Linked DNA regions of Caenorhabditis elegans. The protein of the gene in region 2 purifies or fractionates together with the protein of the main gene of each other region. This does not show direct contact. Each region holds a gene or a part of one and is shown on either strand. Other genes may lie near its edges.

Region 1 (5,812 bases), on a different chromosome or scaffold from region 2:
AAACTTAGTAAAATATCTGAACGATCTGTTTTTCAGGTAATTCGTCCGTCTCCACACACTTCGACATCGAATTTAACAACTGAAAATACTCCACTTTTGAAGGATGAGGAACCACCAAAAACTAATCCAGATGAACCAAAAGTCTAATTTTTCTAATTTGAAAGCCTTCCCCACTTCCTCTTATCGTGGTCCAGCCCATCACAGATCTTTCTCAATTTTTCCTTACAGTCCACCGTCATAATTCCGTTTGTTATCCCCCGTAAGAGAATCGTGTTCCACAAAATTTGCTTTCTTTTTTTTTTGATCTTTCTTCTTCCAAAATGTTAACCTTTTAGACAATTAAAATTCACACATGAAATTTCCTAAACACTTATCCACTAATAGTTACCCTTCATAAGGGCGGTTTTTTATTCAGTTTCTTTTCTAATCGATGTTTATTTTCTTTCCTGTATCGTTTTTTTTCACTGTCTTCTTTTCTTATATTTCTTTCACAAATGAACTTTTATATATTTCCAAATAATCCAGTGAGTGGCAAAATGATTCATTTTACATACAAATTTAACCAATAAGTATTTTACAGGAAAGAGTGAATCGGGGAGAGATGTTTGGATGAAGGTGGCCTTGAAAATTTTATCTGTACAATGTTTCAGAGTTTCAAAAACCAAAGCTAGGCCACAATATTTTAAACTAAAAGGAGATCACAATAAATAGTTGATTTACATGGCACCAAAAGAGTCACACCATTCTTTGCATTTGAGCATTGTATCTGGACCAGCACTTGGTGAAACTGCTTGAAGAGCTGCTTCAAAGTCAATGTTCCTCACGAGTTCGGCTTTCAGTGATTCCATTGCAGCTGTCAGTTCCCCGCCTCGCAATGATTTGGTGTCGTATCTGAAATATCTTAAGGATTCTTAGTGTCGATTCTTGAAAAAAGTGTTGCAACATCGCGATTAGCAAAATTTTTTCAGCAAACGTACAAAATTGGCTTTTTTTTAATTATGATAATCCAACTTTTCAATCTTAAATTGATATCGAAATTTATAAAAACGGTTCATTTCATCTTAAAATGTTATTTAATTTTGTCTACAAGCGTTTAAAAACATTAAATAGTGCATGAAAGTTGCCATTTCTATACCAGTTTTTGATTCGAAATATTGGATTATCTTATTGAAACAAGCACGTTTTCCAAAAAGATTTTCTGCACATTCCTGCTACCTACCTTCTCAACACATTGATAGCAGCAGTTCTGCATAGAGACACAACATCAGCTCCTGAGAATCCTTCAGTCCTTGCCGCCAAGTCATCATAGTTAATTTCATCGGATTTCGGAGTTCCTTCCATTGATTTTTCGATAAGCTTCTTTCTTGCATCTATATCTGGCAGTGGAATGAAGATTCGCTTTTCGAAACGTCTTCGGAGTGCCTCATCGAGCTCCCATGGAATATTTGTGGCGGCCAGCACGAATACACGTCGCGAATCGAATTTATTCTGTGACCCGTCCATTTGTACCAGAAACTCGGATTTAACACGCCGACTCGCTTCGTGTTCTCCAGAATTTCCACGTTGTCCACCAAGTGTGTCAATCTCATCGATGAAGATTATGGATGGAGCATAGAACCGTGCAAGTTCGAATAACAGACGAACAATCTTCTCGGAATCACCACGCCACTTGCTGGACAGATCAGTCGAGGAAACGGTAAAAAAAGTTGAACTAGACTCTGAAGCAATCGCACGTGCGATAAGAGTCTTTCCAGTTCCAGGTGGTCCAGCGAGAACCATTGCTTTCCATGGTGAACGGAGACCCTGGAAGAATTCTGGCACCAAGAGTGGAAGAGTGACGGCTTCGTGCAGAACTTGCTTCACGTCGTGCATTCCGATTATATCATCTAAAGACATTGTATTTTCCGTATTTGTAGCCATTGTACCACGCACCGCTTGAACAATGTACTGAAAAGATTTCTGATTTTTGTTTCTGGAAAACATAATAACTTACCGCATCATAAGCCGATGCATCGAATGAATCTCCAGCACTATTTTGAGGCAGTATTCCTTGTGTTGGATTCGCAGGCTTCACATCAGCCGGATTCGTGCTCATCGACGACGTTGACTTTGATATTTCTCTGGGACGTGGACCTGCTGCTCCAACTCCTTTCTTTGTTGCTCCAAATTTCGATGAGGATGGTAACGGTGGCGATGGTTTGGACCAAACATCTGGGTCTGCAGGTGGCTCTGGACTTCCACTTTGTCGCGTCATCGCCTCGTGTAGGTCATCTTCATCGCGCACATTTTGTTGGACAAGCTTCAAATTAGCCTCTAGGGCTCGTAGGAATGTCTGAAATTTCAAATAATTCAACAAGCTTTTAAAAGATTTATATTACGTACATTTCTTGCGTCATGCTCGTCTCTGTTGCTTGCCGAAATTTTACAGCTTTTGACATCTGTCATGAGCTGACGAAGAAGATCACCAGCCTCATTCCATCGTCCGGCATCGGACATTGTTTTCGCGACTTGGGCTCGCTCCAGATATCCGCGAATGACTGACTGCACATCCCCATTCATCCTGAAAATATACTTTAATTTTTCAATAATATACACTTCTACAGACGAGAGGATGAAATTTAGTATAAGACAATGGGATTTGGCGGAGAAGAAAATGGCAAGATGATGAATGATAACGAATAGGGAAACGACGGAACGGAGTGTGCGTGGACTTTATTAGATGGGAGAAGAAGATTGTACCGTGAAGATGAATTTAATATTATTTACAGAATAAAATGGTTGAATAGAAAACGATTTTTCTTTTTTTACTTGATATTGGCTCACTTGTTGGAAACATTGAAAGAGTTTAGCCGCAAAACAACAAGTATTTACAGCGGTAGATCACACAAAAAATGATAGGTCAAAAAAAGTTTTAGGAATTAAATCCTTAGCAAAAGGCTTGAAATCTGAGATCTTTCAGCGAGATATAAATGATTAGAACCTTCTAATTGCATATCACTTGAATAAAACCAAAATTAAGCGGCGAGTTATTGATTTTTCAGAAAACAGATTTCTGCTGGTCAAACCTCAGAATTAGCTCATCCGCGACAAACAATTAATTTACACAAAGCAAAAAAAAAAAAATTGATTAATAAAGAGAAGAAACAAGAGCAGTTTGAAAAGGAAATAATTGTTTCACTTGTTTAACAAAAAAAGATCATAAAGGTATAGACGAAATTTGTGTTGTCCGGAGCCAGTTTGATTTGCACAATTATAGTGTAACTTCTTAAAAGATATCTATAGAAAGCTTTTCATAAAAAGTAAAAAAATAATTGCTCAGGGCTCCGCGGAGCTGGAGCTCCGGAAGTATGGCGCAAAAGTACAAGTGTCGTCAGTTAAAATGTCGAGTACGCAATACACCCCAGACACTGTCACGTCTGAATGCACAATCGCTTGCAATTTGAACACTTTCAATTTTCGAATTTTAGCGGAATTCCGCGGAAAACTTTTACATTTTCTTAAATATTCTTCTCATTTTTTAGGATTATTATTATTAATTGGTTTTTTAAAACTGCCGTGTAGTCCATCATTGTACTGATTCGAGATTAAACGCGTTATTTTTGTTCAAATTCCGAGAAGAAACTCAAGAAACAAAAGGAAATTTTAAACCCTATGGAATTATCAAGTTAAAACCGTAAGAAGTTTTACAGAACTCCCGGAAAAATTTTATTTATCAGAAATCTCAATTTTATAAGTTAATGTTTCTACCGTGCTTACTATATTTTTAATACCACTTCACATGACATTAGTATCTCTTTCAGATGACGGATGTCGCTCGAGAATTCGGGATAGCTGTCAGCGACTCCTCCACGGTCTTCGCCTTCCTAACAGATAAAAAAGGATTTTCAAATAAAGGTAAAAATTGCATCTTCTTCAGTTTCCAACATAAGAGATTTTTCAGAAACAGTCTTGGTCGAGAAAGTTTCACAAAATCGACAAATTCTTGCGACACCAAATCTCAGACGACTTGTTATCGAAATGTATTCTGTATTTGATAAATGTCAAAAAGGCTCCTCACCTGATGCACCTCTAGACACGCCTACTTGCTGCACATTCTCTCGAGCTTATCGTTCAGTTCTCTACAATGCCGCCGTGTCTCACAGCAGTTCCGACTTCATGACAGACTTTGCTTTGTGGTCACTTTACGAGAAATTATGGTTTGGAAGAGGTGATAGCTCGATATGTGCGGATCTTATTTCATGGGCCAATCAGAGCTTCACGTTTTCTAGAGGAGCCATGGAATCAGCTGTGGAATATCTGCATCCGGGGAAGACGATTCCAGAAGAATATTGGAAGGGAGTAGCAGTCAGCTTGCTTAGTTGCAATTTCAGCGATTGTGTTGAACTGTTGGAGCTACATGGAGGCGGATCAGAATGTGATGCATTCATTGAGGCTCTCACATTCTTCAATCCCGAAAACTTAGTCGACGAAGCATTAGTAAGACCCATTTATATAATAATTCTTAAACTTCGTAATATTCTTATTTCAGGCTAACACAGTAAATGAATGGAAGGATATCATGCGTGAAAATTTGACAAGTGGGAAGTACGGGAGCAACGAAAATTTCAAATATCTTACGAAGCTCCTACTCGGTGAGGAACGATACCTCGTATCTATGGCTTCACGGATTTTCGACACGTGGTGGCATTTTCTGCCATTCTTTGTGCTTGTCAAGAATCCATTCGCCGGACATGTCGAGCTCATTGAGCTAGCTGATGAGTGTAGAACACTATTCGTTGGAGAAGAGGAAGAGGAGGGTGCAAAGGAAAATGATGTATTCTGGTGTCTTATTTCGAAGGATGATATTAACTTTCAACAGGTTCTTGTTTTTATTCAAGAAATTAAATTAAATATAAATATCTCTTGAAAATAGGCTCACTATTTCTTTCACGATTAATTAAACGGCGACAGAACATTTCATTCAATTTTATCCCAATAAAAAAAAATCAAAATAATGTTCAAGAATATTTAACAATTTTCTTCAAAATAAATTCTAGATTGTTTTAAATAAGAATTAATTAATTTTACTGAATAAAATTTCAGTTGATTGCCTCGAATCCCTGGCTCGCAGTTCACCTGGTTGATCTTATTCACAAATCCACATTGGATCCCGAGTTTGAAGTGATGAGGAAAATGCACATGTTGGACTACGCCAGTGTTCTTATCTCTCATTCTCCGTTAGTTTTTGAAATTTCTAATTACTGAAAAAACATTTTAAAATATAACTTCACAAATTTTTTATAGTCTGTGGGAAATCGGAGCCGGATATCTTATTGCGTGTGGTACCGAAGGACTTCTACGTCTCGAAACACACATCGAAGGGCTTCACATTGAGGATGATGAGATGGCTGAGCAGTTGCTGGAAATATGTGAAGAGCATCGACTGGAAGACGCGAAAAGTTGTGTGACAAATACAATGACTTTCCGGTATCTGAAGCAAGGACATTGGAGTTCAACACTCGCTTGGGCGTTGAAAACTGGATCCAAAAAGACAATTGACTGGACAGTATCTCGAATTGTTGGTTCAAGTTCGAAGGATGAATTGGCTGCATTAAGAGTTTTATCTTCAATAACCAATCATTCTGTACTCTCACTTCCATCTCTTACCTTCCTCTACTCTTATCAACGATTTGTGAAGATGATGCACTGTGGTGATGTACTGGACTGTGTTCAACATCTGATACCGCTTATTATGATGCCTGATGTTCCAACTCAGTATTACTATGATCTCTTCGATTATTTAATCACGATTATCAAAGAGGATGGGCGTGCT
Region 2 (10,462 bases):
CGAAAAAAAAATTTCTTAAAAAATCCAATTTTTATCAATTTTTGAAAAAATAAAAAATTAAAAAATACTTTATTTTTTATTTTTCATTTTTCACGATTTCTGATTTCTGGCTTTCCTCATGAATTGAAATGAAAGAGTTTTTTGCCGAACTAGGCCAGGCCATATCTGGGGTAGATTTACGGCGCGTTGCGTGTCGCGTCGTGGCTCGATTGTAAAACTAAATGTATTTGTCCGTGTGGAGTCCGGCAGGCGATTATCAATGGAGCGCGAAAAAAAATCCAATGAGGAAGGCCAGAAAGGGCCCGTGTGGGGATAGATGAAATCGGAAAACAATGGTTTGAAAATTTACAAAAAAATCAGTTTTTTTTTCTAAAAATATGAAAAATTGCCAAAATTTTAAGGCTTTTTTTTTTTGAAAAATCGAAAAAAATGTAAAAAAAACAAAACAATCCAATTTTTATCGATTTTTGATAATAAAAAACATAAGAAAAACTGGCAAAATAGCAACAAAAAAAAAGTAAAAATTTAAACTAAACAAAAAATCCAAAAACACTATCAAATATAGTTTTTTTTTAAATTTTTTCTTTTTCACGGGCTTCTGGCCTTCCTCATTGATTTTTTCGCGCTCCATTGACAATCACCCCCGCCGGACAACGTGTACTCCACACGGACAAATACATTTAGTTTTACAATCGAGCCGCGACGCGACACGCAACGCGCGCCGTAAATCTACCCCAGATATGGCCTGGCCTAATTCGGCAAAAACTCTTCCATTTCAATTTATGGAGGGAAACCAGAAATCCGTGATAAAAAACATAAGAAAAACTGGCAAAAAAACTTTAAAAAAATTTTTTTTTTGTGAAAAATCAAATTTTTTCCCCAATTCTCAACATTTTCAGGCCTTCAACAAAACCGAACAGGACTACGGACAATACACGAGTGTCAAAAAAATCGCAGGACTACCTCAAAATACGTTTGCTTCGAAAAAATCCCGTGCGAAGACGGCTTTCGAGATCGCCGACCATCAGTTGAATCTCAAAAAGGAGGAGGTTGAGCTGAGGGAGGCGAATGCGATTAAAGTGGTACTCAATCAAATCACAAGAGAACTGAACCGATACATGGATGGTGCCAAGCTTGCCGAGCAGCAGGCTTTTGATGAGAATTTCCAGCAATTTGAGCCAAGCTGAAGGATTTTTTGAGCGAAAAAAATATTAAAAAATTAAAAAATCTTTGAAAACTAGTTATTTTTATCCAAAATGTTATATTTAAAGCTTCAAAAATCCATTTTTTTCTCAATTTCTCACCGACCAATCAGCGACTTTGAACTCCGCCCACTCCGCCCACTCCACCTGATTGGTCGCAGCTTTCCCATTTTATCCAATCAATTGTATTTTACTTCGATTTTTTCTGTGAAAAATTCCATTTTCATGTTTTATTTTTTTCCCATTTCTCACTCCCCAAATACGGTTAATTGTTTTTTTTTGTTTCAAATCAAATCGGTTTTAAAAATGAATAGCATGAAATAAATTTTAATACTTTTTTTTGTCGAAAAAAAAATAAATCCGTAAAATTTGGAGGGGGGTGGACATTTACAGAAAAATGTGTGTGTGTGTGTGGAAAATAATAATTAAATATTGAAATATTTTTGTGGGAGCAAAAAAAAAAGGAAAAAAATGGTGTTTCGGCGATATAAAAGGGGGAGATTCTTCGGAATTTTTGGGCGAGAAAGAAATTTCGAGAAAATTTCGAGAAAAAATTAGAGGAAATAGTCGGCGTGCGGTTTTTTGGCCGGTGCTCCGCGATTTTCTTGTGGAGCAGCTTCGAAAATTGTGAATTCCTTGTTGAGATTCTCGTCGAGCTCGAGAATTGCCGCCACGTTGCCGCATCTGGAAAATTTTCATTAAGTTTTTTTTTACTGCAAAAAAAGCTCAAGTTTTCCGGGAAATTCAATTTTTCTTTTGAAACAAATTTTTGGGTTTGATCTACAAAAAATGCGGGATTTTTTTGTCCAAAAAATGTGACGTCAACACGTTCTTAATCATGCAAAATCAGTGCGTCACTTCTCCCGCATTTTTGTAGATCAAACCGAAATGGGACACTCTGGCACTACGTGATTTTGGCGGGAAAATTTTAAATTTTCTGGAAACAAATTTTGGCGGGAAAATTTAAATTTTTTGGAAACAAATTTTGGCGGGAAAATTCAAATTTTTTGGGAACAAAGTTTGGCGGGAAAATTCAAATTTTTTGGAAACAAATTTTGGCGGGAAAATTCAAATTTTCTGGAATCAAATTTTGGCGGGAAAATTCAAATTTTCTGGAAACAAATTTTGGCGGGAAAATTTAAATTTTCTTTTAAAAACATATTTTGACGGGAAAATTCAAATTTTTTGGAAACAAATTTTGGCGGGAAGTTTAAATTTTTTTGGAAACAAATTTTGGCGGGAAAATTCAAATTTTTTGGAAACAAATTTTGGCGGGAAAATTCAAATTTTTTGGAAACAAATTTTGGCGGGAAAATTCAAATTTTTTGGAAACAAATTTTGGCGGGAAAATTCAAATTTTCTGGAATCAAATTTTGGCGGGAAAATTCAAATTTTCTGGAAACAAATTTTGGCGGGAAAATTTAAATTTTCTTTTAAAAACATATTTTGACGGGAAAATTCAAATTTTTTGGAAACAAATTTTGGCCGGAAAATTCAAATTTTTTGGAAACAAATTTTGGCGGGAAAATTCAAATTTTTTGGAAACAAATTTTGGCCGGAAAATTTGAATTTTTTGGAAACAAATTTTGGCGGGAAAATTTAAATTTTCTTTTAAAAACATATTTTGACGGGAAAATTCAAATTTTTTGGAAACAAATTTTGGCGGGAAAATTCAAATTTTTTGGAAACAAATTTTGGCGGGAAAATTCAAATTTTCTGGAAACAAATTTTGGCGGGAAAATTCAAATTTTCTGGAATCAAATTTTGGCGGGAAAATTCAAATTTTCTGGAAACAAATTTTGGCGGGAAAATTTAAATTTTCTTTTAAAAACATATTTTGACGGGAAAATTCAAATTTTTTGGAAACAAATTTTGGCGGGAAAATTCAAATTTTTTGGAAACAAATTTTGGCGGGAAAATTCAAATTTTCTGGAAACAAATTTTGGCGGGAAAATTTAAATTTTTTGGAAACAAATTTTGGCGGGAAAATTTAAATTTTCTTTTAAAAACATATTTTGACGGGAAAATTCAAATTTTTTGGAAACAAATTTTGGCGGGAAAATTCAAATTTTCTGGAAACAAATTTTGGCGGGAAAATTTAAATTTTCTTTTAAAAACATATTTTGACGGGAAAATTCAAATTTTTTGGAAACAAATTTTGGCCGGAAAATTCAAATTTTTTGGAAACAAATTTTGGCGGGAAAATTTGAATTTTTTGGAAACAAATTTTGGCGGGAAAATTTAAATTTTCTTTTAAAAACATATTTTGACGGGAAAATTCAAATTTTTTGGAAACAAATTTTGGCGGGAAAATTCAAATTTTTTGGAAACAAATTTTGGCGGGAAAATTCAAATTTTCTGGAAACAAATTTTGGCGGGAAAATTTAAATTTTCTTTTAAAAACATATTTTGACGGGAAAATTCAAATTTTTTGGAAACAAATTTTGGCGGGAAGTGTAAATTTTTTTGGAAACAAATTTTGGCGGGAAAATTCAAATTTTTTGGAAACAAATTTTGGCGGGAAAATTCAAATTTTTTGGAAACAAATTTTGGCGGGAAAATTCAAATTTTTTGGAAACAAATTTTGGCGGGAAAATTCAAATTTTTTGGAAACAAATTTTGGCGGGAAAATTCAAATTTTCTGGAATCAAATTTTGGCGGGAAAATTCAAATTTTCTGGAAACAAATTTTGGCGGGAAAATTTAAATTTTCTGGAAACAAATTTTGGCGGGAAAATTCAAATTTTCTGGAAACAAATTTTGGCGGGAAAATTTAAATTTTCTTTTAAAAACATATTTTGACGGGAAAATTCAAATTTTTTGGAAACAAATTTTGGCCGGAAAATTCAAATTTTTTGGAAACAAATTTTGGCGGGAAAATTCAAATTTTTTGGAAACAAATTTTGGCGGGAAAATTTAAATTTTTTGGAAACAAATTTTGGCGGGAAAATTCAAATTTTCTGGAAACAAATTTTGGCGGGAAAATTTAAATTTTCTTTTAAAAACATATTTTGACGGGAAAATTCAAATTTTTTGGAAACAAATTTTGGCCGGAAAATTCAAATTTTTTGGAAACAAATTTTGGCGGGAAAATTCAAATTTTTTGGAAACAAATTTTGGCGGGAAAATTCAAATTTTTTGGAAACAAATTTTGGCCGGAAAATTTGAATTTTTTTGGAATCAAATTTTGGCGGGAAAATTTAAATTTTTTGGAAACAAATTTTAGCGGGAAAATTCAAATTTTCAGAAAAAAATTGTATTTTTTCCTAAAAATTATACTTTAAATGATAAAAAAGTGACCAAAAATTTTAATTTTTCGTCTTTTTCACGAAAAAAAAATTTCCGTTTTTTTTCCAAATCCATCCCGTACCGATAACAATAGTTGGGCGCCGACCAAACAGTGAGCACTTTCTCGTTGAAATGCCATTTATATCCTTCCATAACCAATTGATGAGCTCTACAGATCAAATCGACTCCGTTCGTTTCGCAAAACGTTTTCGACGCGTCCGCTCCGAATAGATAACCGGCTCCGCGTGGACTTAGGCCCCATCCAACATTTCCTTCTTCGGGGTCCGACCACAGTAGATCACACATTGGACCGTCGTGGGGAACCTGGAAATTTTCAGAATTTTTTTTCGCTTTTTTAGCACAAATTTATACGTTTTTCTATCAAAACGAACAAAATTTGATTAAAAAATTGATTTTTTTTTCAATTTTTGAGGCGGAACGGTGGTTTTGCAAACCTGCGGCGCGGTTTGATTTCTGTCGATTTACGGTGGAGTTTGTGCTACACGTGGATAAGCGTTTTTTTTTTTTTTTCGAATTGTTCTTCAGTTCTGTAATTTTTTTTGTAAACACTATTCAAAAAATATATATATATGGACCCAATTTTTAATGTTGAACACCAAAAAAAATTGGCAAAAATGGCCCAAAACTGTAAATTTACTATTAGAAAAAATTAAAAAATTAATCGACGCTTGTCCGTGTGTATTACAAAATTCTCCGTAAATCGAAATATAGCAAACCGCAGACTTGCAAAACCTTCGCCCCGCTGGAAAAAAGTGATTTCTCGAAAAATTTAACGTAAATTTTGAAATTTCGCTTCAAAATATCCGAAATAGTATCAAATTCAGAAAAATAAAAAGATTTTTCAATTTTGAATTCCCTCCAAAATGAGAACTCAAACTCCGCCCACTCCATCTGATTGGTTGAAAAGTGGGCGGAGCGAATCGCTGATTGGTTGAAGACAAAAATCGCGTTTTTGTGGTTTTTTTCTGATTTTGAGACTATTTTTTGAATTTTTTAGTATTTTTCGGGGAAAAAATCGAAATAAATGAAATAAAAATTAAATTGGTCGATTTTGATGAGAAAAAATTAGAAAAAAGTCTGAAAATTAAAAAAAAAAATTTTTAATGAAAAAAACGGAAATTTTTTTTTAAACGGAAATTTTCGGAAATTTGCCGATTTTCTGGTTATTTTCATTTTCGGCAATTTGCCGATTTGCCAGAAAATTTTAATTCCGGAAATTTGTCGATTTGACGGTTATTTTCATGATCGACAAATTGCCGATTTGCCAGAAAATCTTAATTCCGGAAATTTGCCGGAAATTATCAATTCCAGCAATTTGCCGATTTGCCAGAAATTTTCATTTTCGGCAGTTTGTCGATTTGCCGGAAATTTTTAATTCCGGCAATTTGCCGTTTTTCCGGCGAATTCGGCAAATTTCCGACTTGCCGGAAATTTTTAAATTCCGGCAATTTGCCGATTTGCCGGAAATTATCAATTCCAGCAATTTGCCGATTTGCCGGAAATTATCAATTCCAGCAATTTGCCGATTTGCCGGAAATTTTTAATTCCGGCAATTTGCCGTTTTTCCGGCGAATTCGGCAAATTTCCGACTTGCCGGAAATTTTTAAATTCCGGCAATTTGACGAATTGCCGGAAATTTTCAATTTCGGCAATTTTCCGATTTGCCGAAAATTTTTAAACATGGCAATTTTCCGATTTGCCAGAAATTTTTAATTACGGCAATTTGCCGATTTGCCGGAATTTTTTAATTCCGGCAATTTTTCGATTTGCCGGAAATTTTCAATTTCGCCAATTTGCCACAAATTTTTTAATTCGAACATTTGCCGATTTGCCAGAAAATTTTAATTCCGGCAATTTGTCGATTTGCCGGTTATTTTCATTTTCGGCAATTTGTCGATTTGCCAGAAAGTTTCATTACGGCAGTTTGTCGATTTGCCAGAAATTTTTAATTCCGGCAATTTGTCGATTTGCCGGTTATTTTCATTTTGGGCAAATTTGCCGGTTTGCTGATTTGCCGGAAATTTTTAAATTCCGGCAATTTGCAGATTTGTCGGTTATTTTCATTTTCGAAAATTTTAAAACTTTCCGGCAAATTCGGCAAAATGCCGGAAATTTAAAAAATTGTAATTCACCGAATTTTAACCGAAATTCAAAGCAAAATTCCATTAAAAACAGCATATTTTTTGCGTTTTACCTCCTGCTTCCGATCAATAACACGAATCTGATCCATAGTACTAATCGACGGGGATAATCCACCATGAACACAGAAAACCTTCCCATCAATTACAGCGGCAAGTGATAAGTAGTCGAAAACTTCGGTACAATGTTTCCAAACAGACGCATTTCCATATTTCCGAAGGCATTCATCATAGAACCCGTAGACTTGAGTAATCTGGCGACTTTCGTGATTTCCACGGATCAACATCATTCGATCCGGATAGCGAGCTTTCAGTGCGAGAAGTAGAAGGAATGTCTGGAAAAATATCGATTTTTTGGGAGTTTTTTTTGCAATTTTTTCGCCAGGAAAATTGCAAAAAAGCGGGGGCACCTCCACAGAATAGAAGCCTCGATCCACGAAATCTCCGAGGAACAAATAGTTGGTGTTCGGCACTGGTCCGCCGACTTTGAAGAGCTCCATTAAATCGTAGAACTGGCCGTGGATGTCTCCGCAGATCTGGAAATAGAATTTAAAATGGAAATTTTGATTTAAAAATCGATTTTATCCAACCAACCGTCACCGGAGAATCGATAACCTGGACGTTGCCCTCTTCCGCTAGGATTTCACGAGCTTTTGCGCAAAGTGTTTTGACATCTTGCTCCGCGATGAGCTCACATCTCATCAGCTTTTCTATGTGGCTGAAAATATTTTTTTTTTGTTGATATTTTATTGTTTTTATATCAAAACTGCTACCGATCCAAGTCATGAGTTGTTAGCTGGTCCGATGGGCCGGAAGTCGGTGAGTCGACACGTGAAAATGTGGAATTTGCAGAGTCGGTGCACGCCAGAGCCATTAAAAGCTGTAAAATACGTTGTAAATCGATTTTTTGAATTAATATTTAATTTAAAAACGAAAAAACGAAAAAAACCAATGAAAACAGGCGAAATCGACTTTAAATCCAGAGTTTTTCGTGCAAAAATATAAATTCAGTGTAATATTGGCATTGTGCCAGATTGCCAACAGAGCGCGATTGCGCCGTGTGGACGAGAGAAACCTCGGTCGCGGCCAGGAAATTTTTTTTTTTTTTTAATTTTAAAAATTGTTTTTTCGGAAATTTTCTCTGTTCTAACCAGTTTTTTTGCGAATAATTCAAATAAATTTCAGTGAACAATGTCAAGTTTGGCGAAACTCGGGTACTTTTTCGACGAAAAAGGCGTGCTGAAAACGGAGAAGGACAAAAAACCCTTCAAATTCACTACACAGGAGGATTATGAAGAACTGGGAGAAGCAGTTGATCTGGAAGTTTATGAGCTTCTGGAGACACGTTGTGGGCTGAAGAGAAAGGCGGTAAATTAAGAAATTTTTAAAAAATGGAAAAAAAAATTTAAAAATCAAAAAAAAAAATTTTTTTTCAGCTAAAACTTCCAGGAAAAACCGACGAGGATGAGGATCTAAGCTTCATTTTTGTGTCGAAAAATTTCAAAAAAGCTGCAAATCTTCTAGTATTGATCCACGGAAGCGGTGTCGTCAGAGCCGGACAATGGGCTCGTAGACTCATTATCAATGATAATTTGGAGTGTGGAACTCAGATTCCGTATATCGAAAGAGCTATTGAAAATGGATGGGGTGTTGTGGTGATGAACACTAATTTGAATGAAAGTAAAGATCAGGATTTGAAGGTGTGAAAAAACCCGGGAAATTTCGAAAAATTCGCTGAAAAATCGATTTTCAGTACTCCCGCACACCTGTCGAGCACGCTGAAACTGTCTGGATAGCGTGTATTGAGCCATCGAATGCTAAGAGCATCTACGTGGTGGCTCACAGTCGTGGTGGTTACGACACAGCCAGTGTGGTGGGATTTTCAGCACTTTTTTGGCAAAAAAAAGCGAAAAAATCGATGTTTTTCCGATTTTTCAAGGCGAAAATCCCTGTTTTTCTGAATTTTTTAAAGGAAAATGCAATTTTAATCTATTTTCAGCTTTTTTTTTGGCAAAAAAGAGCGAAAAAACGACATATTTCCGGATTTTTAAGGCGAAAATCCCTGTTTTTCTGAATTTTTGAATAAAAATGCGATTTTAAACTGTTTTCAGCTTTTTTTTGGCTAAAAATGAACGAAAAAATTGACTTTTTCCGAATTTTTAAGCCATAAAACCCTGTTTTTCTGAGTTTTTGGATAAAAATGCGATTTTAAACTGTTTTCAGCACTTTTTTTTTGGCAAAAAAGAGTGAAAAAATCGACTTTTTTTTTGATTTTTTAAGGCAAAAAAACCCTGTTTTTTTGAATTTTTGAATAAAAATGGGATTTAAACTGTTTTCAGCTTTTTTTTGGCTAAAAAAGAGCGAAAAAACGACTTTTCTCCGATTTTTTAAGGCAAAAATCCCTGTTTTTCTGATTTTTTTAAAGGAAAATGCAATTTTAATATATTTTCAGCTTTTTTTTTGGCAAAAAAAGCGAAAAAACGACATATTTCCGGATTTTTAAGGCGAAAATCCCTGTTTTTCTGAATTTTTTGAATAAAAATGGGATTTTAAACTATTTTCAGCTTTTTTTGGCGAAAAATCGACATTTTCGCGATTTTTTAAGGCAAAAACCCCTGTTTCAGGTCTCGCCACGACAAAATTGTGTTCAAGGAATAAGAAAAAAAGGTATGCGCCTTTAAAGATTACTGTAATTTCTAATTTTTGTTTCTGTGAAATTTATCGAGTTTTCGTAGTTTTTCTAAATAAAAATATTTTTTAATCTTTTGAAAAAAAATCGAAAAAAATTTTTTTAATTTAGTTTTCGCGATTTTTTTTAAATTTTTTCGATTAAAAAATATTTTTATTTAGAAAAACTACGAAAAATCGATAAATTTCACAGAAACTAAAATTTAAAACTACAGTACTCTTTAAAGGCGCACACTTTTTTGTATTCAACAAAAATTTGTCGCTTCGAGACCCAAAATTGAGGAAAACATGGAATTTTGCCTTAAAAACCCCGTTTTTTCGCTTTTTTTTTGCCGAAAAAAGTCCTGAAATCTGTTTTCAAATTTAAAAACAGCGGAAAATAGTTAAAAATGCATTTTTATTCGAAAAAAAATCGTGTGAAAAATTAAATTACAGTACTCTTTAAAGGCGCACACATTTTTCTATTTAACAAAAATTTGTCGCGTCGAGACCCGCCAAAATCATATAATTTCATTAAATTTCAGCTCAAAAAGTTTGGCGGAGACGATCGTATTTCGAAAATCTGTCTCACTGATTCTCCATGGTTCGAATTTCCGAAAAGTTGTGCACAACGGGCACGTCCATTGTTTGTCGTCAATTTCTTGGCTCACGGGGTAGTTATAAGGACGCAGAAAACGCGCTCCACGGGCAATTGAAGTCTCGTTAAGAATTTGGCGGAAAAATCGGGAATTCAGACCGGTTTTTCGACCAAAAACCTAACGAGACCCATGGTTCGTGGGTGGAGCGTTTCTTATTATCCGTGGAGCGCGTTTTCACGTTTCAATAATATACCGTATTTCCTCTATTAGTCTTGCATGCAAGACTAATTTTCAATTGACCCGTAGGGGTGCAAGACTATTAGAGGCTGCAAGACTAATTTTCGAAGATCCAATAGCTTTGTAAAATTTACCATTCATCGTCAAAAATTAGACATGAAACAGTCAAAATCGTACAATATATATATATATTTATATTATTTTATCTATTATTTGAACACTTTAAAATTTAATTTAGCTAAAAACTGGCAAAATTGTTGAAGTTTTGACAAAATACTGCTGGTCTGGCAAGAATAGGGGTGCAAGACTAT

What was found. The genes of interacting proteins can lie anywhere in the genome.
Region 1: the proteins of pph-4.1 (region 2) and mei-1 purify together in Caenorhabditis elegans (affinity purification with western blotting, with the first as the bait; one study listed by BioGRID). This does not show direct contact.

What each region holds. Positions count from the first base shown.
Region 1 is NC_003279.8:8,291,629-8,297,440, reverse strand, and holds mei-1 (Meiotic spindle formation protein mei-1), read right to left. Parts: upstream 2,568-5,812; 5' UTR 2,560-2,567; coding exon 2,383-2,559; intron 2,333-2,382; coding exon 1,994-2,332; intron 1,948-1,993; coding exon 1,220-1,947; intron 901-1,219; coding exon 717-900; 3' UTR 501-716; downstream 1-500. Other genes in the region: abts-1 (Anion exchange protein), read left to right, coding at 37-147; npp-2 (Nuclear pore complex protein Nup85), read left to right, coding at 3,801-3,894, 3,941-4,476, 4,529-4,858, 5,083-5,216, 5,284-5,812. UniProt on the Caenorhabditis elegans protein: Catalytic subunit of a complex which severs microtubules in an ATP-dependent manner. Microtubule severing may promote rapid reorganization of cellular microtubule arrays.
Region 2 is NC_003281.10:12,343,809-12,354,270, forward strand, and holds pph-4.1 (Serine/threonine-protein phosphatase 4 catalytic subunit 1), read right to left. Parts: upstream 7,529-10,462; 5' UTR 7,523-7,528; coding exon 7,422-7,522; intron 7,367-7,421; coding exon 7,243-7,366; intron 7,185-7,242; coding exon 7,059-7,184; intron 6,984-7,058; coding exon 6,705-6,983; intron 4,814-6,704; coding exon 4,572-4,813; intron 1,887-4,571; coding exon 1,757-1,886; 3' UTR 1,515-1,756; downstream 1-1,514. Other genes in the region: zip-1 (BZIP domain-containing protein), read left to right, coding at 900-1,187; FAM172 family protein homolog Y75B8A.31, read left to right, coding at 7,840-8,016, 8,085-8,348, 8,402-8,521, 9,861-9,989. UniProt on the Caenorhabditis elegans protein: Protein phosphatase which plays an essential role in meiosis and in early embryonic mitosis.